Linked DNA regions of Macaca fascicularis. The protein of the gene in region 4 purifies or fractionates together with the protein of the main gene of each other region. This does not show direct contact. Links are inferred from orthologs where the notes say so. Each region holds a gene or a part of one and is shown on either strand. Other genes may lie near its edges.

What was found.
Region 1: the proteins of IRAK1 (region 4) and MAP3K7 purify together in Homo sapiens (affinity purification with western blotting; 5 studies listed by BioGRID). This does not show direct contact. The link is inferred for Macaca fascicularis from reciprocal best matches to the Homo sapiens genes IRAK1 and MAP3K7.
Region 2: the proteins of IRAK1 (region 4) and TOLLIP purify together in Homo sapiens (affinity purification with western blotting; 11 studies listed by BioGRID and IntAct, with this or other methods). This does not show direct contact. The link is inferred for Macaca fascicularis from reciprocal best matches to the Homo sapiens genes IRAK1 and TOLLIP.
Region 3: the proteins of IRAK1 (region 4) and IRAK3 purify together in Homo sapiens (co-immunoprecipitation; 3 studies listed by BioGRID and IntAct, with this or other methods). This does not show direct contact. The link is inferred for Macaca fascicularis from reciprocal best matches to the Homo sapiens genes IRAK1 and IRAK3.
Region 5: the proteins of IRAK1 (region 4) and STIP1 purify together in Homo sapiens (affinity purification with mass spectrometry; 3 studies listed by BioGRID and IntAct, with this or other methods). This does not show direct contact. The link is inferred for Macaca fascicularis from reciprocal best matches to the Homo sapiens genes IRAK1 and STIP1.
Region 6: the proteins of IRAK1 (region 4) and PELI3 purify together in Homo sapiens (affinity purification with western blotting; 7 studies listed by BioGRID and IntAct, with this or other methods). This does not show direct contact. The link is inferred for Macaca fascicularis from reciprocal best matches to the Homo sapiens genes IRAK1 and PELI3.
Region 7: the proteins of IRAK1 (region 4) and PELI2 purify together in Homo sapiens (affinity purification with western blotting; 7 studies listed by BioGRID and IntAct, with this or other methods). This does not show direct contact. The link is inferred for Macaca fascicularis from reciprocal best matches to the Homo sapiens genes IRAK1 and PELI2.

What each region holds. Positions count from the first base shown.
Region 1 is NC_088378.1:84,782,202-84,786,196, forward strand, and holds the start of MAP3K7 (mitogen-activated protein kinase kinase kinase 7), read left to right. Parts: upstream 1-1,195; 5' UTR 1,196-1,403; coding exon 1,404-1,523; intron 1,524-3,995. UniProt on the Homo sapiens protein: Serine/threonine kinase which acts as an essential component of the MAP kinase signal transduction pathway. Plays an important role in the cascades of cellular responses evoked by changes in the environment.
Region 2 is NC_088388.1:1,223,321-1,226,820, forward strand, and holds part of TOLLIP (toll-interacting protein), read left to right. Parts: intron 1-527; coding exon 528-680; intron 681-2,236; coding exon 2,237-2,327; intron 2,328-3,500. UniProt on the Homo sapiens protein: Component of the signaling pathway of IL-1 and Toll-like receptors. Inhibits cell activation by microbial products. Recruits IRAK1 to the IL-1 receptor complex. Inhibits IRAK1 phosphorylation and kinase activity.
Region 3 is NC_088385.1:72,978,740-72,982,946, forward strand, and holds the start of IRAK3 (interleukin-1 receptor-associated kinase 3), read left to right. Parts: upstream 1-1,407; 5' UTR 1,408-1,518; coding exon 1,519-1,651; intron 1,652-4,207. UniProt on the Homo sapiens protein: Putative inactive protein kinase which regulates signaling downstream of immune receptors including IL1R and Toll-like receptors.
Region 4 is NC_088395.1:160,087,061-160,091,063, forward strand, and holds the start of IRAK1 (interleukin-1 receptor-associated kinase 1), read right to left. Parts: upstream 2,801-4,003; 5' UTR 2,699-2,800; coding exon 2,563-2,698; intron 2,471-2,562; coding exon 2,303-2,470; intron 2,201-2,302; coding exon 2,069-2,200; intron 1,951-2,068; coding exon 1,847-1,950; intron 1,660-1,846; coding exon 1,471-1,659; intron 1,227-1,470; coding exon 1,162-1,226; intron 992-1,161; coding exon 877-991; intron 1-876.
Region 5 is NC_088388.1:10,193,092-10,196,539, reverse strand, and holds the end of STIP1 (stress-induced-phosphoprotein 1), read left to right. Parts: intron 1-1,276; coding exon 1,277-1,313; intron 1,314-1,525; coding exon 1,526-1,629; intron 1,630-1,848; coding exon 1,849-2,021; intron 2,022-2,461; coding exon 2,462-2,534; 3' UTR 2,535-2,948; downstream 2,949-3,448. UniProt on the Homo sapiens protein: Acts as a co-chaperone for HSP90AA1. Mediates the association of the molecular chaperones HSPA8/HSC70 and HSP90.
Region 6 is NC_088388.1:7,918,657-7,922,156, forward strand, and holds part of PELI3 (E3 ubiquitin-protein ligase pellino homolog 3), read right to left. Parts: intron 3,301-3,500; coding exon 3,106-3,300; intron 2,803-3,105; coding exon 2,614-2,802; intron 952-2,613; coding exon 382-951; 3' UTR 1-381. UniProt on the Homo sapiens protein: E3 ubiquitin ligase catalyzing the covalent attachment of ubiquitin moieties onto substrate proteins. Involved in the TLR and IL-1 signaling pathways via interaction with the complex containing IRAK kinases and TRAF6.
Region 7 is NC_088381.1:124,162,042-124,165,541, forward strand, and holds part of PELI2 (E3 ubiquitin-protein ligase pellino homolog 2), read left to right. Parts: intron 1-797; coding exon 798-986; intron 987-3,500. UniProt on the Homo sapiens protein: E3 ubiquitin ligase catalyzing the covalent attachment of ubiquitin moieties onto substrate proteins. Involved in the TLR and IL-1 signaling pathways via interaction with the complex containing IRAK kinases and TRAF6.

The DNA.
Region 1 (3,995 bases), on a different chromosome or scaffold from region 4:
TGTAACTTCTTGATGGTCAAATCCAATGATCTAGTTGCAATCCCAAATGTGTTTAACATAATTCTGTACAGCATATACTTGGTTGGCTACTTCTTCATTGGAAAGCTCACCTCTGGTGATGTTCCAATTACTATTTTCCTCACTTCCTCCTTTCAGTCTCTTACTGAAACTTAGAATTTGACATTCGCAGGAATCCATCCTTGGTCTTTAAATCTTCATCTCTAACTCCAATTTTCCACAGTTAGGCTTTATGTCAAACGGACTATATAAAGTTCAACAGTTAGTTTAAAACTAAAACTTGTGCTGGTAGTACAACATGAGCAATACTGACCATCTTGGGGACAGATTGATCTAGTTTGTAAGGACCATAATTGCTTTAAACTCTGAGTGTATTTTCTCACGTCCTGAAAATGGTGATGAAAATATTTGATTTTCAAGGAGACTGTTGATGATTCATTTACCAATCTAAAGCACTAGTGCCCCGCACTCGTAATCCATAACTTGAGATGAACACACCAAAGTGTAAATATCTTATCCACCTAATCTGTGTAAAGTTTGTAACACCAAAATATTAACTTCTGTTTTTGATCACTCAGCCTCCATAGTTATTCATGTTGCATGATCTGATTCGCTCTTTTAGAATTTCTCATAGCGTCAGGGACTAGCTCAAAGTAACAGGAGCAACTGCTTCCTTCCATATCCCACATTGAGGAAAACACATTTTGCAAGCCGTCTTAAAGAAACAGGTCAACTTAGTTGAGGGATGAAACTTAAAAGCAAGCTTCGTCACAAAAAACACAGTTCAACACCACCTCGCCCGTCTGCTGGCAGCTCAAAGGAGAGAAAGAGAGGCCAAGACATACTTCACACAGCAGAGACTAAACGCCAGCTTTTATCTTTCCCGCTGGTCCTTAAGGGACCAACCGTGCTGATTTTCCGTCATGTTCCGCGCCACTTCCGTTCGCGCACTTTAATTACGTCAGGCGTCCTCTCTCGCGGTATCATCCGGTTGCTGAGGCCCTGTAATAAAGGTCTCGCGAAATTTGTTCTAGAGGTCCAAGCTTGCTTCTTAGTTTACTCCACCCCACCCCCAACCTGTCCCTCCTTTTCTTTCCAAGTCACAAAATTCTCCCCTTCCCTCCCCCGGAGTTTACGGCCCACCTCCTGTTTCCGATTTCAGCCCGGAACCGGAAGTGTAGTGGGCGGGGCCCAGCGGCGGAAAACGCAGCGGAGCCAGATCCGGACCCGGCTGTGGCCGCTGCCGCTATCCCCGCCACGGATCGCCGGGTAGCAGGACTGCGCGGCTCCAGCCTGAGGGTCGGTCCGGAGGCGGGTGGGCGTGGATCTCACCCGGATTGTCCGGGCGGCACCGCTCCCGGCCCCACCGGGCGCCGCGAGGGATCATGTCTACAGCCTCTGCCGCCTCCTCCTCCTCCTCGTCTTCGGCCGGTGAGATGATCGAAGCCCCTTCTCAAGTCCTCAACTTTGAAGAGATCGACTACAAGGAAATCGAGGTGGAAGAGGTGAGCGAGGCCCTGCATGGAGACGCCGGTACCGGCCCGGCCCGCCCCTGCCTCTGTCTGGTCCCGGCTCTGAAGGTGCCTCCCCGGCCCCTCTAATTCGCGGGACCCTGTGGGGTCCACCCGGGAGACCCAACAGCCTTCACTGACGTGGGAGTGGGGGTTACTCTCTGAGCTCAACTGCTTGGGAGTAGCTGCCTTTTTTCCTGTCTTGAGTACTCTTGCTTTTGGATTTGATATTCCGGTGATAAACAGGAGAATGAACTGGTGAGACAGTGTGGTCCTCCAGTTCTCGTATCTGTAAGTAGTAGTTTCAGCGAAGATCGTAGCCGTTCTGGAGTTTCAGTCCGCTGGACGTGAAGTTCTTAATGGCCAATAATTGTATTATGTTCGACTTCTACTTCAGTATCTGGCATGTAGGGGATGCTCAATAAATGCTTGTTAAATTAGTAGATCATCAAGTCTAATAAAGTGTTTCCCTTAGCATCGAATGGTTCTCAGTTTCTCCGATACCGCACAGCAATACTCGTAATGTTTAAACGCTCGGCTTTCAGTTGGGCTAACGTAGGTGAATTTCACCATAAGTAACACAGACTGGTCTACGATCAAAAGATGTTTCAAGTAGCATATTCTGAAGAGATAACGAATGATCGGTGACAATCAGAATATAACATTAGACTGGAAATCGCTATCAGAAAACCCATATCCTTTCTTTATTCTGCAGTAATTCATTTTAGAACAAGCTATTTCAAAGTGACTTTAAAGTGTTGCTTTTCAGATTAACAGAGAGGTAAATTGGGTTCTAATGACTATAAAATTTAGAAAAGTAAAAGCTGCATATATATTTTTTAAAGAGACTTTAGAACTTGTTAAAAACTTTGGCTGAAAATACTATATCTTACCATTTATTTGCCGTTTTTTTAATTTATTAAGCACTTGCGTTATATATCCCGTGAAAAACCTAGTGAAATATTATAGATTGTCAACAAGTTATGTCTACTTTAAAATTCTAAAATTATTTTTAAGTGTCAGCAAGTTCGAAGTAGTGAGATAACGTTCAACAAATAAATTTTTTTTTCCTGTGCATGTTTTGGAAGAGTAATGGATTACTGAATTATATACTTTTTATCACATAAAGTAACTTTAGAGATCATTGAGAACATCCTCATTTTACAAGATAATATGGTGGGAAAAGCAAGGTCTTTGGAATTAGAGGAAAGTTCAATGTATCAGATATGCCATTATTAGCTGTGTGATTTGGGGCAAGTTTCCTAACCCCTTTGAATTTTAGTTTTAGAAAGGGCTAATAAATTCTGTTTCATCTTATCTGCATAACAGATCTTAGTAGACATTATATGCAAAACACCTACCACAGGGCCTGACACATATTAGGAAACCTAGTTCCAGAGAGGAAATGTGACCTGCTTTAAGGTCACATGGCTAAAAGAAGACCTGTATTTTGAAAAGAGGGGGGAATGTTTTTAAGTTTTTTTTTTTTACATTGAGGCTATGATAAATTCCTTTTCCAGAAGTGGATAGTTGATCCAACTTTCATGGCTAATATTCTTTTTTAAGAATAAAAATTCCATGAGTCAGTATACAAGAATTGCAGTTTTTAAATAAGCGTTTACGTCTCCTCTGTGGTGAATTGCTATGCTTGTAGACTACAAATTGTTATATAATAATAACTTGTGCTTTATGGTCTACCAAATGCTTTCACAAACTTACTTCATTTGGTTCTTACAACCTTAGTTTTTGTATGCTACTTTCTAAAGCTTTTTACATTCTTGATTCATGGAAAAACAAATTACTAAGGAGGTAGTTATCATTTTGATGTTCTTCCCCTAAAGCTATTTCACTTCTGGTTAGGTTTCTGTGTTTCCAAGACCCTTCTCTCAATTTAGATAATGTTTCAATCTTTGTGTGTATGTGGGTGTGCGTGTGTTTAGGACATTTCTGGGGAGTAGGATTTTGTTTTTAGACGAAAATTTGTTTTTAATATTAGGCAGTCATTTGGGTTTTTTGTTTGTTTTATTCCCCTTCATTTTTAATACTCAGTTCATTTTTGCATTAAAGATTGTATTTGGATCTTTCTGATATTGAAAGCATTACATAATTTCCATCATGTTCTTCATTTGCATACATTAAACCAGTGTTACACAATCCAGAGTGAACCAAGGACACTTATTAGCTATTTGTCAACTTAGATTACACTTCCAGTTCAGTTGTAAGATAACAGAGGAAGATGACCAGAAACAAAAACTACTTTATGTTGCTTTCAATATTTTATATTGTATGAGAATATTACCTTCTAAATTAAGAAAATCATATTATGTATTTCTCAATATAATTGAATTGCATTATATCAATATAATTAGAAACTGTAAAAAAAAATAATTCAACCACAGGCCAAATATGCAATCATTTAGTAGATACATATTTCTAAGACATCAGCTGATCTTGCATTTCTAATAT
Region 2 (3,500 bases), on a different chromosome or scaffold from region 4:
AATGGCCAGTCCTCCCTGCCTGGGCCCTGCCTTTTCCTCCTGGCTTTTCTCTCCCCATCCCGACCTGCTTTCCCCTCCCTGGCCCTCAGAAGAGTGGAGAGCGCATGGGAAGTACAGAGGCAGCTGTGGGAGGCAGACCCCATGTCCTCTCCAGCCTGTGCCCCGGCTGCTCTGGGGCTTGGGAGGTGGCAGCCGGTGGAGCAAGGATGGGGCCCGGAGGGCTGGGGAGGAGCAACTAGTGTCCCTGAATTGGAACTGGAGGAGGATAGCAGCCCAGGACCCTCACTTTCCCCAGCCCCAGACCTAGCCCTGGCCCTGGCCTATCCTGGTGGAGAGAGGGAAGGATCGTTGATAAACGACCGTGAAGCCCGTGCTGCCTGAGGGGTCTCATTGATGGGGTGTGGGTGCAGGTGGGAGCCTTGTTCCACCGATGAGATGGGAACTCGAGACGGGCCCATGATGGTGCGACCGCAGGGAAAGGGCGGCCCCTTCCCTAATGCCTGAGGCATCTCCCTCTTCTCCCCCAGAGAGCCTTCTCCATGGACGACCGCATCGCGTGGACCCACATCACCATCCCCGAGTCCCTGAGGCAAGGCAAGGTGGAGGACAAGTGGTACAGCCTGAGCGGGAGGCAGGGGGACGACAAGGAGGGCATGATCAACCTCGTCATGTCCTACGCGGTGAGCTGCCGGCCTGGTATCAGGGGCATCGGGGAGGGGCGGGACGCGTCAGAGGCCTTGGGGTGGGGCGGGTCAGGGTATGTTGGGACACATCGGGGCTGTGCCACCCCGCAGACACCCTGGTCTCTTTCCTGGAGGCACTGAGTCCGTCAAACAGCAGGGCTCAGCGTTCTGAGGACAGAGGGAAGGGGCCCTGGGTGGTTTGGTGGCAGAGAGGAGCTGCCCCGCCCACTGCTCCTGCCCATCGATTCTGTCTGGGGAAAGAGCATCGGGGTTGTTTGTGTTCCTAAGATGGGCCCACCCTTTGTGGTGGTCTCCACTGCAGGCCCCTGTGTCCTCGGAGGTCCCTCACAGCCCTTCCAAGCTCTGCCCTTAGGGTCCAGCTGAGCAGCCCTCCAGGGTCTGAGATGCAGCCCTGGGCCCTATGGGACACCAGGCTCCTCCCAACAGGGCAGGCACTGGCCAGGGTGTGGAAGGGCATCTCTGGAGATGTGGGGGAAGCCTGGGGGCTGCCGCGCTCGGGGTCAGGAAGTCGAGGCCTGGCCGTGGGGCCAGCACGTCAGCTGCCCTGGCTCCCAGCTGTCTATATCCTCAGGACACCTGCAGCTCCTGGGGGCATCGGGAGGGCCAGTTAGAGGCTCCAGGACGCAGAACTCCTACCGTCTTCTCTGTGTTATCACTCAGGGATTCTCTGTATTATCACTCAGGGATTCTCTGTATTATCACTCAGGGAATTTTTAGGTTGTTGCTGAAAAATGGTGCTGTGGGAAATGCAAGGCCCATGTGACAGTGGAGAGGGCGCAGCAGGGAGCCGCTCTTCTGGGCCATCTTGGCTCCTCCCACTCCCTTTTTGTTAACGCCGGGATATTTTAAAGCAAGTCCCAGCCATGAGTGACCACGTGTAAATGTCTCAGGACGCAGCTTTAACCGATGCTTTCATACGCAGAACCGTCATGACGCCCCAGTGACTTTACCTGCAGGTGACAGTTTTCAACTCAGAGACGACAGCAGTGCAGTGACTTATCTCAAGTTGACAGTTTTAAACTCAGACACCACAGCTGTGCAGTGTGGTTCCCCCCAGGCCCCCTTGACACCTACACTGGGATGTCCCTCCTGACACCATCGTCTCTCCGTCACATCCCAGTTAGCGGGGGGTCTGTAAGCCTGAGCCATGTCACCTCCTGGACGTGAGGAGGTGGCGCGGGGGGTCTGTAAGCCTGAGCCATGTCACCTCCTGGACGTGAGGAGGTGGCGCGGGGGGTCTGTAAGCCTGAGCCATGTCACCTCCTGGACGTGAGGAGGTGGCGCGGGGGGTCTGTAAGCCTGAGCCATGTCACCTCCTGGACGTGAGGAGGTGGTGCGGGGGGTCTGTAAGCCTGAGCCATGTCACCTCCTGGACGTGAGGAGGTGGTGCGGGGGTGGGAGTGGGCCCCGGCGTCCCCTGTGCACTCAGGGCTCACAGCTGGGTTCGGGGCTAGCATGGGGAGGGCGATTCCTGAGGTTCTGATGGGTAGATGTTCCTTCCTGACCCCGGGACCATCTCCGCTGTGTTCCAGCTGCTGCCAGCTGCCATGGTGATGCCACCCCAGCCTGTGGTCCTGATGCCGACGGTGTACCAGCAGGGCGTCGGCTACGTGCCCATCACAGGTGCGTGTGCTCCCTCCTCCCTGGGTGCCTCCCCCCTGGTAGAAACCCCAGGGCCTAGGGCGGGCGCAGGACAAGGGAACAGGGCTTAGAGCGCCGGTGGGGGGACGCCATCCGTTCTAGAATCCTGCAGACGTGCCGACTGCACGCAGATCCTTCTAGGCTAGGGAGCCAAGGATTACGTTTGAATTTTGTTTGCATATCTAGAGAATAGAATTGGTTTTTTTTCTAATTGTTGGCAGAAATGAGATGAGTTGAAATTTTCAGAGGTGTGGAAATGTGACTGAAACCTCGTCGTGCCCAGCTCTCTGCAGGAGAACCTCACACCCCTGTCGGGCGATGCATGCTCTGCACTGCGCTGTTGCAGCCGTTGTCGTGTGTCACTGTTAAGAGTGAGCAGCCGGTGGCTGCAGCAACACCAAGCGGGAATGTCGCTTTTCACGCTGTTGCATTTTTGGTCCAGCTGTCGCTGTCGTAGCAGCTGGTGCAAGGCCAGCCCCCACCATGGACGGGCCCAGCGTCCTCAGCAGGCGGGGGGACAGCAGCCCCTGAGGAGGTGCTCGGGGGGAGCCTGTGGCCACCCTGGTTCTCCACCCAAGGTGGCCTCTCATTCCGGGGAGCTGGTGTCTGGCAGAGCGTGGGTCCCTCTGCACTGGGGGACCAGGCCATGGAAGTGGCCAAGTTGCGGGCAGGGCGCTGGGGATGCGTGGTGGTGTTGGGGGAGGGTCTCGGGGCCTGCGTGAGGCCCCGGCTGCTTGTGCTCAGGGGCTGCTTTGGGGTTGGGGTGGGACAGAGCTGCTGGCAGGCGAGAGTGCTGTCAGGCCGGTGCTGGTGTCCAGCCCAGCTGGAGTGGAGAGGCCTGGTCCGCACCCCAGTCCTGGCAGCATCCCGTACAGATGCAGAAAGGCCACCTTGGGAGTCAGGACCTTGCCCTAGACCCACCTGATGTGGCCTGAAACCCAGCCTGGTGGTGGGAAGGAGGGGACGGCGCTGGGAGACTCTGGTCTGTCCACTGGTGTTCAGGACATTCTCTGACGAAACTGCTTATGAGAACAGCATGGCCCTGCCCTCACTTGCTCACATCGAGACTCTGTTTCCAAGTAAAGCCGCCTGCGCAGGTGCCAGGGCTGCCTTTCTCCAGAGGAAAGAGCAGAGCCCGTGTCTGAGCAGGGCCTC
Region 3 (4,207 bases), on a different chromosome or scaffold from region 4:
TGGGCTTTGCCAGTTTTTAGGTATATTGTTATGGAGTATTTTTGCTGACAAGGACCATTCAGGTAGGGCCATGAAATGCTAGTGTTTCATAACTCCTGATCTCTAGGGGAAGATATTTCTAAGACTACAATCTGAGAGGTTTAAAAACACCTCTGGTGTTTTCACTTGATGGTCACTGCCCACTCTTCCAGTCATTAAGGCTAAGCTTTTTCTCACCACTTTGAAAACAACTTTTTGTCACTGGTAACATGCCTTGTGTGACCTAGAGGATTTCGAAACAACAATTTTACTTAAACTCCGTGAAGATTTCAAAACAATAATTTTACTTAAACTCCATGTTGAAGGCAAAAAGGAAGATTATGTGAAGCACTTTGAGGAAGGAAAAAATGATGGAACGATATTTCATCAGGGAAGCCCATGAGGAAGAGAATTTCTTAAAACCAAGTAGGTGTATGGAGGAGGGGCCGCCTCGTGAAGAAAACGAGCATAATTTTACTCTCATTTGGTGTCTCTTCTGTTTTTCTGTTGTTGATATCTACATTCATCTTTTCCAGTAATAATCCCATATATGCACATTTTTATCTGTTTAAATTCAGTAAAAGTTGGGAGGAAAATGTGTCAAAACTTTTAGAGGGTAATGGGCTGAGTGGGGTTGTGAGTGATTATCTTCTTTTTTCAGTTTTTTTTTTTTGTGGGTTTTCCAAGTGTTCCTCGATGAACATGGATAGCTATTCTGACAGGATAAAAAATAAATAGTCCGGGGACAGTGGCTAATACCACCAGTCCCAGCACTTTGGAAAGTCGGAAGTGGGAGGATCGCTTGAGGCCAGGAGTTTGAAGCCAGTCTGGGCAACATAGCGAGACTCCCTCTCTACGAAGAAAGAAAAAATAATAATTAACTGGGAGTGGTGGCGCGCGCCTGTGGTTCCAGCTACTCAGGAGGCTGAGGTGGGAGGATCCCTTAAGCCCAGGAGGTGGAGGCTCCGGCGAGCTGAGATACAGCCACTGCCCTCCAGCCTGGGCGACACAGCGAGAACCTGACTCAAAACAAAGAAAAAAAGGAAGAAAAGAAAGGAAGGAAAGAAGGAAGGGAGAAACTTTCAGAAACAAACTTTTTAAAGAAGTAATGACATCTCTAGCTATCCACACCAGGAGACCGCCTAGCCATGGGGCACGGTGGGCCCCTGGTAGCTCTGAGCTCTGGGCTTTCTCCAGTTCTCACTCTGCTTGTTTCAGCAGCTCCATCCCCAAAGCAGAGGTGTGAAGGGGCGCAAAGCCAGCGAAGGGAGAACCCGGGTTGGGTAACCCCCCAGGCCAGGCCAAGCGGCCGCACGGGCATCTCGGGCTAGGCGCGCCTTGCGTCACGTGGGCACCGCCCCTGCCGGGGCCGGGGAACTGCGTGTTCCTAGGGCTCTGCCGCCGTCGTGGAAGCAGGATTTCCGCGGTTGTGTAACGGCCTGTCGCGGGCCTGCAGGGGCCTGGGCTCCGCCTCGTTCCCGGGGCTCGGGCCACCGAGCCATGGCGGGGAACTGCGGGGCCCGCGGCGCGCTGTCGGCGCACACCCTGCTGTTCGACCTGCCGCCCGCGCTGCTGGGGGAGCTGTGCGCGGTGCTGGACAGCTGCGACGGCGCGCTGGGCTGGCGCGGCCTGGGTGAGTCGGCCAGGACCGGCCGGGGGCGGCGGGGGAGCGGAGCGCGCCGCGGGGCCAGCTCGGCGTAGGCTCCGCGTCGCCCTGCACGGCTGGGGTCGCTCGCGGGGCTGGCGCGGCCTCCGGGAAGTTCCCGCCGGGGAACCGGCCCCTTCCTTTCCCGGGGAGGACGCAGAGACTCCTTGGGACCCAGAAGCCAGCCCTGCCTTCTCTGTTTCAAAGAATTTTGGGTATCGCAGCAATGTCAAGGGAGCCGAGGCCTGGGAAAGACGGATAACCCGCGTGAAAGCATCTTCTGTTCGTCCGCAATGCCACCCTCACTGGGTTCGCAATGTGTGATGTCTTCTGGCCCTTGTGAAATCATCCCAGAATATCATTTTCGTATTAGGACATTTTTAGAACTTTGAGATATTTATCCTTTGGTGTTTTCAATGCATGCCTAAGCCCCTAACTTAATTCCAAGTGAAATGCTAAAGTAAAATACGATTTGCAATGAACGTGGCTCCTAGTTTTCTTAATTAAATCTTATTTAACCAATTTCGTTGAATGAAGGTTTATGCTCGAGTGGCTTTTTATTTTAGTCTAAAAAAATTGGCTTCAGAACTGTATTTTATGCAGACATTGGAAAGTTGAGCAACTGCCTGTTGGAAGTGTTGAGTGTAGCCAGAGATAATTCAGACAAAAATCTTTGTTTTGTTAAGTATAGGCATTTTTGGTTAGATTTGATATTCCACAATGTCATGTTTAATGTTTATTGAAAAGAATCATGATTATGTCAAAATAACTTAGCTTTAATGGTCTGAAGTAGGATTTTTCTTACCAGGACTAGCAGAAGACCTAAATGGAGAGTTTTCTTTGTTACTGATGAACAGTGTGGTCACAGTCTTTGAATTGTAGCAATGGGCTTCTAGTTATACAAAAAATGTTTATATATTTTAAGCTCTGTAATTTTAAGTTATGCCCCCCCCCAAAAAAAAAAGTCTGATTTCTAGAAAACAGAGACTTCCAGTGTGCATATGAGGGATTTTGAGGAATAAGGTCACTTCCCCATCAGATCTTTTTGAGATGGATTTTGGCGTCGGCAGTATTTATACCCCTGGATTTCCTAGAGTTACTAACTGTGAAAGAAAAGTGTTTTTAGTCCAGTTTAATGTTGGTGAATGGGGCCAGGTGGGTATCATAAATTAGTGAGGCAGATTATTCTCTCTGTTGATAGCACTGAAATCCAGATATTCATGCTTTACATGGCTTGTCTCATATAACCCCTCCAGTTACTCTGTGAGCCATTATCATTGCCAGTGTTTTTTAACAGGTCAGGAAACTGTGGTACAAATTGGTTAAGTAACTTGTTCAGGTTCACCAGCTGGTAGTGGAAGAGCCAGGATCTGAACCATGGCAGTCTGGATCCAAGGCTTATGTCCTTAACCCCAGCCACTCTACACTTCTTCCCTTACTGCTGTGCTCTTTTTGGCCACATCTAACAGCCTCCCTAAAGTACAGACATTTCTGGCATCAAAGAACAATTCAGTGATCCATTTCAAGCATGCAGCCCCATTTCCCTAGTGGTGAAAATAAATGAGGACCACCCAAATGAGAACAAACAAAAGCTAATTTTTCAAAGCAAGGGAGCCAGCCACCATTACTTGTGTTTGGCAGAAACTCAAAAGCAGGCAGAGGACAGAGGAGGGTGGGAGAAGGCTGCAGTTATGTCCTGATTGGAGGCTATTGATACAGGGAAGCTGTAGCTGAGCTACCTAAAAGGGGGGTATGCTGTGTGTTTGTTTAGGGGTATATAATTGACTTTCTCTGATTGGCCCTAAGTTGGAAGTAGGAGCAAAAATTGAGGAAGCTGTCAGTAATTATTCAAGTCCTGGCCATTTGAGGCAGGTTGCTACAGGGTTTCTTGTTTGGCTGCCTGGGCTGGTTGCTACAGTTTAACCCAGTTGCTGATAGTTTAACTTGTTAGATACTGTAGATGGTAGGTTGGTTTCTTGGACTGGTTGATGCACATTGTCTGCAGAATTCTGTTTTTATATATAAGCTGGCCATTGTCCGTTTGTGTATTCATTCTCTCATAGGGCAAGGGTCTAAAATGTTTACTCCATGATACTTCAGCCGTAATTCATTGTGCAGGTGGTCATGCCTACTGACTGCCTGGACTACTGAGCTGGCCCTGACCAGGTGCTGCACAAGCTGTTGGCTCAGCAAGAAGGCAAGGCCAGCTCAGTTCAGGGTGTTGAGGCAACTGCCTGTACTAAACGTGCTGAGTTGTCCTGTGGGCACAGTGAAGGGAGAAAGAGGGGAAGAGGTGCAGGGAGGGAAAACTTAACCTTCGAGAGGGGAAGGAGAGTGATGGAGGACTGAATCAAAGAGGCAGTCCCTTGTATGCTCAGGACAGCTGACAGCCCAAGCTTAAATATAGAAAACAACCGTAATATACTAAGTAAAGCTCTCTCAAGCTGATCATGATTCTTGATGATGGTGAGTGTCAGTCTATGTTTACCAAGGCAGCTCATATAGCAGCCTATATGATATGATCAGTGTGTGCAGGATAAGGTA
Region 4 (4,003 bases):
GTGCAGCCTGGAACAGCCACTTCACTCTCTAGGCTTCAGTTTCCCCCTTCTGGAAAACGAGGAGCAAAGTCTCCGTGACCTGCACTTGTTAAGCTACTCTGGCTGCTTGTCAAAGCATTCAAGGCTGGGCAGTGGTTGGGGACATGTTCAATAGAATCTGCTGGGCATAGGCTCCCAGGGCTCATCCCTTTGTCCCTGGGTGGTCGGGAAGTCCTTGAAGGCATTCTTCCCACTCTCCCCAAACACAGTATGCCGGAGGAGGCAAGGGGGTCCTCTGTCAGCGCTGGCTGGTCCAGCTGGTAGCCCCAGACCCCCTTGCCTCCGGGGCTTGCTGATGAGACCCTCCAGCTACTCCGCTTGCAAAGGGGAGGGGCCTGGGGAAGAGCTCTATAGAAAACAGTGGGCCAGGCCAGGCACGGTAGCTCACACCTGTAATTCCAGCACTTTGGGAGGCTGAGGTGGGCAGACCACTTGAGGTCAGGAGTTTGAGACCAGCCTGGCTAACATGGCAAAACCTCATCTCTACTAAAAATACAAAAATTAGGCAAGTATGGTGGCGTGTGCCTGTGGTCCCAGCTACTCGGGAGGCTGAGGCAGGAAGATTGCTTGAACCCGGAGGGTGGAGGTTGTGGTGAGCTGAGATCACACCACTGCACTGCAGCCTGGGTGACAGAGAAAGACTCCACCTCAAAAAAAAGTGACCCCACCATGGGCCAAATCCTGAGCGGGGTGCTGCTGGGGAGCTGGAAGTGCAGGCCTGGCCTGCTAGCAGGACCCGCTCACACAGGCTAAAAGCCCCAGGCCCCGCGACCGGCTCCAGCCAGGTGTCAGGAGTGCTTTGGGTCCTCGGAAGCGTGCCGGGCCAGGTGAGCCTACCTGGCAGTGGAGCCGGTCCTCCAGGGAGCCGTTGGGCAGGAAGCCGTACACGAGGCAGTAGAAGCCGTTCTGAGCACAGTAGCCAGCAAAGTCCACAATGTTTGGGTGACGAAACCTGTTTGAAAAAGGGGAGCACTTTCCATCAGGCCAGACTGGGTGGGCAGCCCTGGCTGGGGCCTCAGCTTGCCTGGGCCTGGCAGGCCTCAGGTGCCCAAGGGAGCCAGGTCGTGTAGTGTGTGGTCTGAAGCCCCACGGGACCTGGTGTGGCTCCCCATCTGGCCTCACCTGGACAGCTGCTCCACCTCGGTCAGGAAGCTCTGCTTCACTGCAGTCCACTCCAGGTCAGCGTCCTGCAGCCCCCAGGGTGCGGTGGGGGAAGGGGCAGGGAAGACGGGCAGGGTGAGGCTCTCCAAGCGAAGGCCTTCGGGCCACCAGTGCCACGTGCCTGAGGCCCAGAACAACCAAGGGGCCAGGGACCCTGCGCCGGAATGAGGGCTGAAGGAGTTGTGTGGGGAAGCGAGGGGGAAAGGCTGGAGAAGTGAGTGAGGGTTGTCTGATGGCCTTCCAGGGTCCCTGCCAGGGTGCGACACTCACCTCCTTCAGCCTCTTCACAGCATACACCGTGTTCCTCATCACTGCCCGGTACACGCACCCAAAGCCACCCTCCCCGATCTTGAGCTCCTCTGAGAAGTTGTGGGTGCCCTGGGAAATCTCACAGAGGGGCCAGCAAAATGGAGAGGGGTGGGCTCCCTGCAGGAGGGACACCGAGCTCTCTGGGCCTGGCTGTGGAAAGAGAGCCTGGATCAGGTGGGGTCCCTGTCTCCTCCCTTCTGCCGAAGGCTCCAGGCTGTCCCCACCACAGCTGCCTCCCAGCTGACCCAGCTTGGCTGACTGCGGCTCTGTGGTACACCAAAGGCTGAATTCCTTCCTCCTTGTCTCGAATCTTCCCTAGGGGGCAGGAGACACCTACCTTGGTAGAGGAAAGGGCTGGAGATGGCGGTGGAGGCCGCAGGGAAGCAGGGCTTGGGACCAGGCCGAGCTCAGGCCCTGAATGGGTCTGGGAGCCTGGAAAAGCTTCATAAAGACACCAGTGAGAGGCAGGCAGAGACCAGCAGCAGGGTCTACAGCCGTGGCCATGGTCAAGGTGGGCCCTTCTTTGGGTCCACCGAGCCCAACAACCGGGCCCTCTTACCTGGGGAGAGGAGGGTGGAGGCTGAGGATGGCAACTTCCGGGGGCTCCAGGCCTCGGCCTCGGCGGGTGCAGGGATGCTGCTGGGCCTCGGGGCAGTGGTGCTTGGGGACGGAAGCGGGGCGGGAGGGTGCCCTGGGACGTCAAGGAAGGAAAGGAAGGTTGAGGCCCGGGTCGGGGAGCCCCGTGGGGCCCGCCGGCCTCCCGGCCGTGGGGTGCCCGGAGTCCCGCGCTCACAGGCTGTGATGATGTCCCGCGCGCGGAGCAGCTGCAGGTGCGTGAGGATGTGCACCAGGTCGGCCACACGGGCGTTGCGGTTGATCCAGGGCCACAGAACGCTGGCCGTGCGCTGCCCGGAGCGCTCGCACAGCCGCAGCTCAGTCTGGTCGCGCACGATCAGGGCGGCTGCGGAGCAGGGGGCGTCAGGCGTCGGCGCCGGGAGCCCGCGCGCCCCCCGCCCTCCGCCCCCCGGCCGCCAGCCGCCACCCGCCACCCACCGAACTGGCACCAGTCGGCGGGCTCCAGGGCGTCCATCACTTTGTAGAAGCGGCACATGACCCAGGGCGGCACCTCGTACAAGAAGTGCTGGGCGCCGGGGGCTGCGGGCTCTCCCGGGCCCGGCCCCCCGGCCATGGCCGCCGCCGCCGCCGCCGCCGCCGGGCCAGGGCCTGTCGGGGCCTCTCAAGGCCGCGGCGGGCACGGGCCTGGGCCGGCCGGGTCCGCGGACACTGACTCACTTCCCCTTCGAGCCGGCCTCGTGCGACACCCGGCGGGGCGGAAGGGGCGGTGCCCGGGCTCGCCGCCATCTTGCGCGCCGCGGCCGCGCGCTCGGCCACACGGGGGCGCCCCGCGTCGGGGAGGGTGCGGGTCCCGGCGCGTTTCGCGCGCGGCAGTCGGCCTCCCGGGCTCGCCCGGGCGGGGCTCTGGAGGACGAACGGCAGCTCCCGGCGTTGGGGACCGAGGGCAGGGCGGAGGCCCGGGCTGCTCGGAAAGGGGCCGGGGCCGGGCCTGCCGAAAGCTCCTGGGCGGCCCGGCGGGAGCCCTGCTCTCCACTGCGGCCTACAGGGCTGTTACCAGGAGCCCTGCCCGTCCGCCCCACGTCTAGCCCCCTGCACAGAGCAGCAGCCTTGAGCCATTCAGACTCCTTGGGTGTCCTGAAATGTGCCAAGAACGCTGGCCCCCACAGCCGTGAGTGTACGCGTTGCTGCTGCCCCAGCCCTCGTTTGGCAAGGGTGAGCTCAAGCAGTTGTGAAGGCTTCCTGAGCCCGCCGGCAGAGCTCCTGTCCCCTCCTGGGCATCGTCCTTGAGCACTTGTCTGGACCGCCACCCCCGGTCCCCGCCCTGAGATGGGGAAGACCCCACAAGCAGCAACGCAGACTTACTCTTTTTAAAGTTTCTCCAGCTGGATGTCTCCCAGCGACAGTTCCCCTTGCCCTCTTGATCCTGACAGGGAAGGGGTTCCCCACCCCTAGCCCTACAGACTTAGAACTTTTCCTAGAAACGAGATCTGCCAAGGCCCACAGCTGGCCCCTGTTGGAGTCTCTTCCCAGAAGCCACCACCACTGTGGCCACTCCTAAGGAAGATGCCAACCATACCATGAAACCCATGGCTTCTCACGGGATAGACTTTACTGAGATGTACCAACTCAAGAATGTGAAATGACTATGCACACCCATGCTAACCTCCACGGGGGGACTTGTCCTGCTTACACACAAAGGCCCAACAGCTTCTGGAACAGGGCTGGTGCACGAGATGCTCAATGCATACAAGTTGACTTTTCAATCCTGGGATCTACCTTTCAAGGCCCGGCCTTTAGAGGGTACCTTCTAGTATGTGCATGTGAAGCTGGACTCCTTTGAGCAGTTGTCTCCTCCAGCTCCTTACCAACCTGGTGAGGCTGCTCCTGAGAGCCAAGGAAGTCTAAGTAACAAGGGGGC
Region 5 (3,448 bases), on a different chromosome or scaffold from region 4:
TTCTCTTCCTCATGATTTCCTACTTTGAAGATGTTTCAAAAAGAAGAATACATAGTGAATATCTGGTGTATCTTCAACCTTTATCTGACAATTAAATGCTCACCTTTTTTGCTGAACTGTTTGCAAAAGGAAATTGTATACATTTGGCACTTAGAATGAGACATCCAAGTCTTGTGCACGCATTGCCTGAAAAGACTCCCTGTCCAGTGCAGCACTGTCAGCTCACGCAGCCTCACCAGACCAAGGCCTGATGCCATCTGCCGTCTGTCCATCCATACTCAGACTTGCCTACTTCTCCAAAAATATGTTTTAAAACTTGGGGTTTTTAAATTTATTTTATTTTATTTTATTTTGAGACAGAGTTTCTTTCTTGTTGCCCAGGCTGGAGTGCAATGGCATGATCTTGGCTGACTGCAACCTCCGCCTCCCACGTTCAAGCGATTCTCCTGCCTCAGCCTCCCAAGTAGCTGGGATTATTACAGGTGCAGCCACCAACACAGCAATTTTTTTTTTTTTTTTTTTTGAGACGGAGTTTCACTCTTGTTGCCCAGGCTGGAGTGCAATGGCACGATCTCAGCTCACCGTAGCCTCTGCCTCCCAGGTTCAAGCAATTCTTCTGCCTCAGCCTCCCTAGTAGCTGGGATTATAGGCATGTGCCACCACGCCCAGCTAATTTTGTATTTTTAGTAGAGAAGGGGTTTCTCCATGTTGGTCAGGCTGGTCTTGAACTCCTGACCTCAGGTGATCCACCCACCTCAGCCTCCCAAAGTGCTGGAATTACAGGCATGAGCCACTGCACCTGGCTTTTTTTTTTTTTTTTTTTTTTTTAAAGTAGAGACGGAGTTTCACCATGTTGGCCAGGCTGGTCTTGAACTCCTGACCTCAGGTGATCCACCCACCTCAGCCTCCCAAAGTGCTGGGATTACAGGCGTGAGCCACCGCGCCTGGCGTTGTTTTGTTTTTTAATCAGCAGTGGTTTTGGATTCCAAAGCTCTCAGTACCAAGGCCCATGCATTTGGTCTAGCTGTCATGTACTCTTCAGTTTCTCAAACTGGAATTGTCCCCCACTATGTGTTTTTCATAGCATCAGCCTCTTGCAGAGTCCGGGCAGTTTGTCTTTTATGGGATGATCCATCATCTGGAGTTGTCTTTTCTGGTGTCATCACCTCTGTGTGGTGCTGGGTGAGGTGTTAGTTGGAAGTTCACATGCTTGAGCTGCCTGTAGTGAGCTTGTCCAAGGGAATGAGCCTAATTTCTTTCTGCTGCTTCATTCTAGGACTGTGAGGAATGTATCCAGCTGGAGCCGACCTTCAGTAAGTACCTTTCTGCTGCCTGTCCCCTGTCTCTAGCCAAAAGATTAGAGAAGGAAAGGGCAAGCCCTTTGTCTACCTGTGTGTCCTTGGGACCTGTAGCATTTAGGATCCAGCATCAGCAGGTGTGAACAGTGTTGATGTGCAGGTGAAGAGGTGCAAGGAGCAGCCTTGGGCGCTGCGTTTGGATGACGCACCACCTCTCCTGTCTGTAGTCAAGGGTTATACACGGAAAGCTGCTGCCCTGGAAGCGATGAAGGACTACACCAAAGCCATGGATGTGTACCAGAAGGCGCTAGACCTGGACTCCAGCTGTAAGGTGGGGCTGCTTCTGGGGCTCCAGGGCTCCCCCTGCCTCTTTCTCTGTTGGGTCTTTTCCACATTCAGTCCCTGATTTCTTCCCTGTCACCTCCATTTCTCCGTTTCTCTCTTACTTGCTCTGTCTTCCCTTGTCAGTTACCTCTGTTATCTTGGACCTGCTGAAGTAGTGAGCTGGGTGGTGCCAACACTCTTCGCCTTTGTCTCTTCTGGACTGCAGGAGGCGGCAGACGGCTACCAACGCTGTATGATGGCGCAGTACAACCGGCATGACAGCCCCGAAGATGTGAAGCGACGAGCCATGGCCGACCCCGAGGTGCAGCAGATCATGAGTGACCCAGCCATGCGCCTTATCCTGGAACAGATGCAGAAGGACCCCCAGGCACTCAGCGAGTACGTAGAGTCAAAGAGGTGGCCTTGCTGGAAATGGAGAACAAAAGCAGGCAGATGAGTGCACACAGCTGGGAGGGGTGTGCTCGGTATGGGAGGAAGAGGAATTCTGTCATTCTCCTAAACTTGAGGAGATTGGTAGTGGGTGGAGAGCTGGAAGGGCCTTCCTTGTTTGTCATGATAGCTTGAGCAGTCATTTGGAAAGGCCCATTTAGCTGGGAGAAAGGTCTTAGCTGGAAACTGTGTCGTGGGCTTGGAGTAGGACTGGCAAGTTCTGCGAAGTGGAGCAGGCCTCCGCAGCTCTGCGCCCCAGGCCTCGCCAGGACCCCTCCTTGCCGGGGCCTTCTGTAGAGGGGGTTGAATTGGGGCTTGCTCTGAGAGGAAGTAAGGAAGTAAGATTTTAAAGGTTGTCTCATTTCAAATAACTGCCTCTTCCTCTGTAGACACTTAAAGAATCCTGTAATAGCACAGAAGATCCAGAAGCTGATGGATGTGGGTCTGATTGCAATTCGGTGATGACTTGTTCATCCCCCTTCCCTTCGCCCTCATGTGGAAAGAGGAGCTGGGACCGCGGCGAGCAGCACGGAGCGGAAGGGAGAGCAGGGGAGAGAAGGCCTCATCTCTCTATATTTATACATAACCCCGGGGAAGACACAGAGACTCGTACCTGCGCTGTTTGTGCCACCGCTGCCTCTGGGCCCTCCCAGCACACGCATGGTCTCTCCACCGCTGCCCTCGAGTTCCGTATCTCCTTCCCCTGCCCCCAGTTGCTGTCTCGGCTGCTCTCCCATAGTTGGTTATTTTTTATTTGGGGCAGTGGGCATGTATGGGGAGGGGAGGGGGTTCTTCCAGCCTCAGGTCCCAGCTGTCTCACGTTGTTTATTCCGCGTCCCCTTCTCCAATAAAACAAGCCAGTTGGGCGTGGTTATATGTTGCTTTGGCCTTGAGTGTGTTTTTTTTTTTTTTTAACCAAGAGTTTGTCTTGCAGGGGCTGCTCCTGGAATCTGATCTTGCTCTTCTCTTCGGGGTGGGCTTAGGAGGAGTCAGGTGGCTTGGCACAGCTCCATGGCTTTGCTGAGAGGGTTGCTAGGTGGCGCTGTTGCTCAGTGGCTGGAAGGACATCTGGAGGCTTCCCCACCCCAAGTGGTACTAATGAGAGGTTCAGATAAGCTTTGGGGTATCCCCGGTGCTGTTAGTTCTCCACATTATAGTCCCAAAGTTAGAAACTGGCTAGATCCAGAGAACAGAATTTCAGTGTGACCTCTGTGGGGGAAGGGCAGCTATACTGTCAGTTGCTGTTAGATTTAGGAGTTGGGTCATGGATTATTTTTGTTTTGTTGTTTTGTTGTTTGAGTCTCAGGCCGGAGTGTAGTGGTGCGATCTCAGCTCACTGCAACCTCCACCTCCTGGGTTCAAGCGATTCTTCTACC
Region 6 (3,500 bases), on a different chromosome or scaffold from region 4:
GAAACTGGGTTGGCAGGCTCAGGGCATAGCCAGCCTAAGCTAGGGGTCAGGGGCCCCTGGCCCCTTCACTCCCCCAGGGGCACACAGTGTCAGCGGCACGATGTGGGATGCCCCAGGAAGGGCAAGGCCATGGGGCTGGGCTTTCCTCCATCGACCCAGGACAGAACTGGTTCTGAAGGCCCCATCAGCATGACTGGGGTGGAGATCTTGGGGACCTCCTTGGGGGGCCACAGTTGGGGGGAAGGGCACAGCCCATCCAACATGTCCATCTGGTGTGGCTGTGCCAGCAGGGAGTGTCCCACATGCAGAGCTCCCTCTGGGCTGCAGGAGGTGGGGACCTGGGTGGGCAGGTGGGCACAGCAGCAGGGGGCCCCAGGGAGCCTAATCCAGCGGGCCCTGGAAAATGAGGCGGACGCAGCCATGCTCGCCAGTAAGCCAGGCCCCGCAAAAGGGGCAGGCGGCATGGAAAGCGTGGGTGCCGTGGGGCAGTGGTGTCTGGGCCCAGTAGCGGGCAGTCTTCTCAGAGCAGACGTGGCCACAAGGTGCAAAGGCATGGCTAGGCGGCCCAGGGTCCAGGCAGAGGCCGGCCTCCTGGCCAAGCCATAGAGGCACATAAGGCCCCACGAGGCGGCAGAGAGGACATTCGCGCTCCTGGGGGCCCCGCTCCCGCCGGCAGCCCCAGCCGTGGTAGCCGTGGACGTGCCCGCAGCGGACGTAGACCCATGGCTGCTGTTTGTCGGGTGCTGTGCGGCCACGGGCTGGGCTGGGGAAGGCCAGAGTGCTGAGGCCCACGGGGCACTGGGGCCGCGCTGCATTTGCCTCCTGCCGCTGGGCCTCCAGTTGCTTCAGTGTTGGAGCCCGCAGCAGCCCCGCCGGTGTGCGCCACAGCAGTGTGGCCCCACACAGGTCGATGAGAGAGCCGTCCTGCAGCACGTTGGACTCGTTTTCCACCTGCCAGAGGCAGTAGAAGGGCCTTACTGCCCAAGAGGCCCCCGCTGAGCCAAGGGTCCATCCCACGGAGCCTCCCTGGAGAGGACACCCTGGCTGGCAGGGCAGGCAGGGCAGAGGGGCAAGGCAGGCTGGGAGGCCAAGCGAACGGGCAGGTACACCCCAGGCACATGCTGACCCCCCCTCCCAGCGGGGCATGGGCCTTGGTTTCTCCATCTGTCTAATCAGGGAGTCTGAACCCAGACAGGGTTTTTCTAAAATAAGATGTTTTCTGAAGTGCCCTCCTCCTGACAGAGGCAGGAAAGGCCTCTAACAAGGAATGCTGGGTACTTAGCTCAAAGCTAACAGGGAATGCTGGGTACTTAGCTCAAAGCAACTATCCCAGTAGTTACAGTTAAAAGCAAAAACTCAGGAGCTAGGCTGCCCAGGCTGAATTCTGGCCTTACCATTGACTAACTTTGTCCCTGGTCAAGTAACTTAACCTCTCTCCATCTCAGTTTCCTCATCCTCAAGATGGACTGCACCTTCTGGCATCTCAAGTGGTTCTCGTGAAGATTAAATGAATCAATCAGGCCGGGCGCGGTAGCTCACGCCTGTAATCCCAGCACTTTAGGAGGTTGAGGCGGGTGGATCACCTGAGGTCAGGAGTTCCAGACTAGCCTGGCCAACATGGTGAAACCCCATGTCTACTAAAAATACAAAAAGTTAGCCGGGTGTGGTGGCTCATGCCTGTAGTCCTAGCTACTTGAGAGGCTGAGGCAGGAGGATCACTTGAACCCAGGAGGTGGAGGTTGCAGTGAGCTGAGATTGTGCCATTGCAATCCAGCCTGGGTGACAGAGTGAGACTCCATCTCAAAAAAAAATTAAAAAAAAATAAATAAATGAATCATTCAGTGTAAAAACTTAGAACAGTGTGTGGCAAATAGTGCTTAAGAAGAGTAGGCTTGTGAAACATTCACATGCATCATTTTACCAAACAATGCTTCCCCAGACCTCCCCACAGAGTTGACGCTCTGCAAAGAAAAGCCATGCTTTTCTCTGAGGTTTTGCATCTCCTTGGACAATGTGCTCATGCCTGAAGAGCAACGCATGGCCCGTTTGAGGAGCATGGCCATGTGACCTTGGGCAGCCCCTGCCTCTCTCTAGGACTCACTCTGGGCTCCCTAACCTCAGCTCTCTGATCTGCACCACAAGGAGTTGCCACTAACACCTGTGTCAGAACTACTGTAAGGACCCTTTCCTCCTGAGAGAGAACAGTGCTAAACCTGTCTGAATGTGACAGACATGCTACAAACTGCCAACACTTCAGGCTATAAACTGCTCACACATGGGCCAGTGTCACTCTCATAAGAAGGTGTGATTTTTTTTTTTAAGCTGCCAGCAGCCTCGAAGCCACCTGGGACTGCACAGTATGTCTGTGTGTGCCTTGATCACATCACCCCCTGGACCTCCAGTGGTATACACGCTATGCTTGGGGACCCTGGTCTGTCTGCCTGTCTGTGGCACATGCTAAGAACTCCCTGGGCCTGGGATTCCCCAACATGCAGCCTGTTGGGGCTCCCTGGGGCAGAAGGACTAGAGATCATCTCCTGGCTTGGGCAGGGGGATGGGCAGCTTGTGAGGGCCTGGCAAGGATGAGGGTGGGGAATAGAGCAGGCCACCTACCAGCTTGCCCCGCTGCTGGGCTGAGCGGCTGTCCCGCAATGTGTACACATTCCCACAGACCGAGATCTCCCGCCAGACACCTGGGGCTGAGTCCTCAGAGAAGCCGCCCGCCGGGTGCATCACCAGAACACCATTGGTGGTCAGTCCATCCATCAGGCCATCTGGGGTCCGCCATTTGGCTGCCCGCTCCTGGGACCACATGAGGGATCAGATCACATCCACCAGGGGCCCCCCAGCAGGCTATGTGCCAGAGGCACTGCCCCCCTACCCTCAAGTTCAGAGGTGGCTCAGAGAGGACTGGCATTGAAGCTGCATGACTTAAGTGTCTCTCTGGGCCTCACTTTGCTCATCAGTTAGCTGGGGTTGCTAAGCCCTGCCAGGACCATCATTTGGATTACTGTGGGCTGGTTCATCACATCAAGATGCTGCACCTCCCAAGCCTACCCCTTGCCTCACAGATGAAGAGTTGGTCCCTTCCTGGGGCTCACTCACTCCAAGGAAGATGTTGCTAGAGGCGTCGAAGCCAGCTGCATAGATGCGGGCAGTATAGGGCGGCCGGCGGTCACAGAGGATGCGGCAGGCGTAGCGAGAGATGGTGCTCTGGGCGGAAGGGCCCTCGGCAGCCCCTCCTCCAGGGGATGTGTCTGTTACCACGAAGTCAATCATGTTCTCTGTGGAGCGGCCAATCTGTGAGGACAGGGAAAGCAAGCAGCGACTGCATGTACATAGGGGACTCTCATAGGCCTCCCCACCCACAGTTCCGGCAGCTGCTCTGTATGCAAGGTCACCAAAAAAGGAGGCTGCCAGGCCCTAAGAAGGGGGCAGCACCAACTCCTTAGACCTTCTAGGCTCCCAGGTGGGGTCTCCAAGTCCAAGAAGCCATTGCC
Region 7 (3,500 bases), on a different chromosome or scaffold from region 4:
CTTCTTAGAGCACAGACACCTTTCTCAGAAGCCTCCGAGAAGATATCCTGTGTCATCAGTCAGAGCCCAGTCATGTGCTGTGCCCACCTGTAAACCAGCCATTGGGAAGATGGCTGGGAGTGTCGTGTTGGATTAATCAGGATTCCCCCCACCAGCCCCAGCCATGTGAACAGTAGCTGAGCTCTATCACCAAGAAAGCTGAAGGGAAGAGCTGTGGCACAAGCACCCAAGAGTGTCTGTCCTATCATCATGTCAAGCTACATGTGCCATCTACCTTTGAGAATTTAAACACTGATTGTTGTGTAAACATAATGACCCTGACTTGTTGGCTTAACATTTTTTGAATTTTCTAGCTTTAATAGAAAGTCTTTCTTTATGGCTATCCTTTTTTCTCTATCCTGACAGTGAGTACATAGAAAGCACTTTTAGATATCAGGATAAGGACATGGCACAAGTATAACTGAAAAGAGAAAACACATCAGATTCCTGGAATCTCATGGGGTTGTGGGGAGGGTAAAAAGAATCTTAGAGGGAGAAGTCCAGGCATCCATTTTTTGCAAATTCTTGAGAACTATAATATGTGTCCAGTGATAAGTCATTCATCCATTCAACACTTCTTTTATAGTGTCGAAATAATTGTGTATTTTATCCTTGTGATTATTAGCTTTAAATAGAAAATGAAAATGCATCACCTTCCTCCCCTCTGCCTCTACACAGTGTATTAAAGAAATTCCAGAATCCTTTCCATTTCAACATCATCTTAACCTACTTTTTCTGTTCTGCCATGTGCTCTCCAGGAAAAGGCAGCAAAGTGGAAAAACCCTGATGGCCACATGGATGGGCTTACTACTAATGGTGTCCTGGTGATGCATCCTCGAGGGGGTTTCACCGAGGAGTCCCAGCCTGGGGTCTGGCGCGAGATCTCTGTCTGTGGAGATGTGTATACCTTGCGAGAAACCAGGTCGGCCCAGCAACGAGGAAAGCTGGTGAGTGCGCTTCACTCTGCAAGACGTTCCAGACTACACAAGCCTAACTCCAAGGCTGTCGTTTTTCCCTCCCCTGACGTTTGGAACCTTTGTGCAGGTCCAAGCGCCGTGTACCATAACTCAGCAGAAGCAGAATTCCACAAGCCCCAGAAAGCAAGAGGGAAATGGCCTTATCTCCTTCAGTGGTTCAACTTTTTGGGAGTAAATTGTGTTTTGCTCCTTACCACCTGAAGAATATTTTTTATTGTATACCTCACCACACAAATCTGTTTTAATTCACTTTAAGAAGAATAAACTTACTTTTAGTGTAAAACTTTATTGATTTGGAAAACATTTGAGCAGTCCAAAAACAATTAGTAAAAATTATGAATTAAGGAATTATTTACTAGACTTTCTGGAACTAAAAATAAGTCAGCTGGTTTTCCCCTTGAATTCCTATATATTAAGGCAGAATTCTCTATACTGTCCACCAAAATCATAGTTAGAACTTTTTACTTGAGATGATTTATATATTGCATTGACCTGGCATGTTAATATTTTCCTATAAATATCACCACTTATACCCGTGCCCTAAAGCAGTTTTTTAAACCCATTCTTTCTTGGAGAATAATTATAATACCTTAAATGTGTAACTCTGAGTTTCTGATCTTGCCATAGCCATATAGCACAGCCACTGATTTTTAGTAAACTCTCCATTCCTGTACTTTTGCTTAATTTGCTAGGTAGAAGCTAGAATGAGAGAGAACAAATGTCTTTTTCTAGAAGCTAGAAGAGGAGTTCTTCAAAACTCCCACAGAATAAAATGTATGCGGAATAGAGAATTTGACCTAGCACTTGTTAGAAAGATCATCATCAAAAATGTCTAAGATGGAAAAAGAAGCTGGGGGCTGTTTTGCTAACCTCATTTGCTGTTCTCTACTGGATGTTTGTGTTTAGGGAATGGTTATTTTTATTTCTATTTTACACCGTTTTTCAGCTACAGGCACAGCTTATGCGTCTTACAGTGCATTATGGCTGAATAAAAGAAGCATTTTCTAAAAAAAAAAAAAAAAAAAAAAAGCAAATTCAATAAATTTTGTATAAATGTTTTCAAGAAATTGTAAACAAAGAAGGAAATGTGAAAGCAGTTTTTCTAAATAATCTTTTGTTTCTGATCACTGGATAGTTTTATGCAAAACCGACCTAGATTGGCCAAACTGGTTATTCATCATTATAACAGCAAGAGTAAGAAGTCAGTAAATGGTTGCTGGGTGCAGGCTCTGCATTAACATTTTTGACATTAGCTCACTTCATCTGCACAGCAGCCCTCTTAGGGAAGTAGAGTCATCCCCATTTCATGGATGAGGAAGATGTGGCATAAAATTAAAGGTTGTCCAGTGTCACAGAGTTAGAAGGTGGCAGCCGATGAGATTCAAATTCAGGTCTCCCTGATGGAGAGCCTGGACACCTAATACTACTCACTCAGTACCATGTTGTGGGGAGCTGGGGATGGTTTACACCTGAGCATTTGCCTCCCTGGGTGAGTATAAAGCATGCACTAGAGTCCGTGGGGAGCGCCTTTGTCCAGGAGGGCAAATCACAGGATGAGTTTCTCGTCCACTCTGGTTATTGTGTAGCGACTCTTCTTAGGCTGCTACATGTGCCGGAGAATTTTACAGTGTGACTGAAAAGAAAGAACTCCAAAAATGGCTTCTATTAATGGGTTGTATTAAATATACAGGCTATTTTTGAAGTTAGTCCCTATAAGCGACACTTAAAACTCTGTAAAATTGTGCCGTCCCATTTGATAGCATCTGATTAACCTGACCAGTTACAGAGGCTTCCATCAGCCTGACCTTGGGCTTATGGTACACTGAACGGATAATCCTTCCTGCAATCTCCTCTTGTTAACCTCTGGAGAACATTTTTTTGGTCTGTCTTCGTGGAAAGTTTACTGACTCTTTGAGCTTCTGTTTTAATTCATGACTCATTGGTCCTGTACATGTTGCTGGTAGCATTCGATATAAATTATGTTTATCTGGAGATTAGATTTTGGGGACAGTCTCTGGCAGTACTTGTCATTTGCAGTCTAATACAGCAATTTGGGAAATAAAGTGAGCTGCTAAAAGTCTAAAATATTTGTTAAAACAGTAGTAGTCACATTGTGGAGCTAGTGCTGGTGGAAGATTATGTATTCATGTCATACTCAGCATTTGATATGAATCAATATACTAATGTATCTGTAACCAGAAATCACCATTGTTTTTCATTATTACAGCAAATGATGGAACCTCAGAAAGGTATACTAATCAACAAAATTAATTAAATGTGGGGGAAATGTCTTTTCAGGCCTTTAAACCCTGAATAAATAGGTGAATGGAATTTGAATTGTGCCCTACTTTTTTAGCTAGTTAATGATAACATATGGTAACATTTATAATATTAGTCTAGGGGGCCCTTGAGTATTTAATTAAATTATATATGAAATATTTTATTAAACTAAACTGGCTTTGTATAAAATTAAGTAAATTCAGT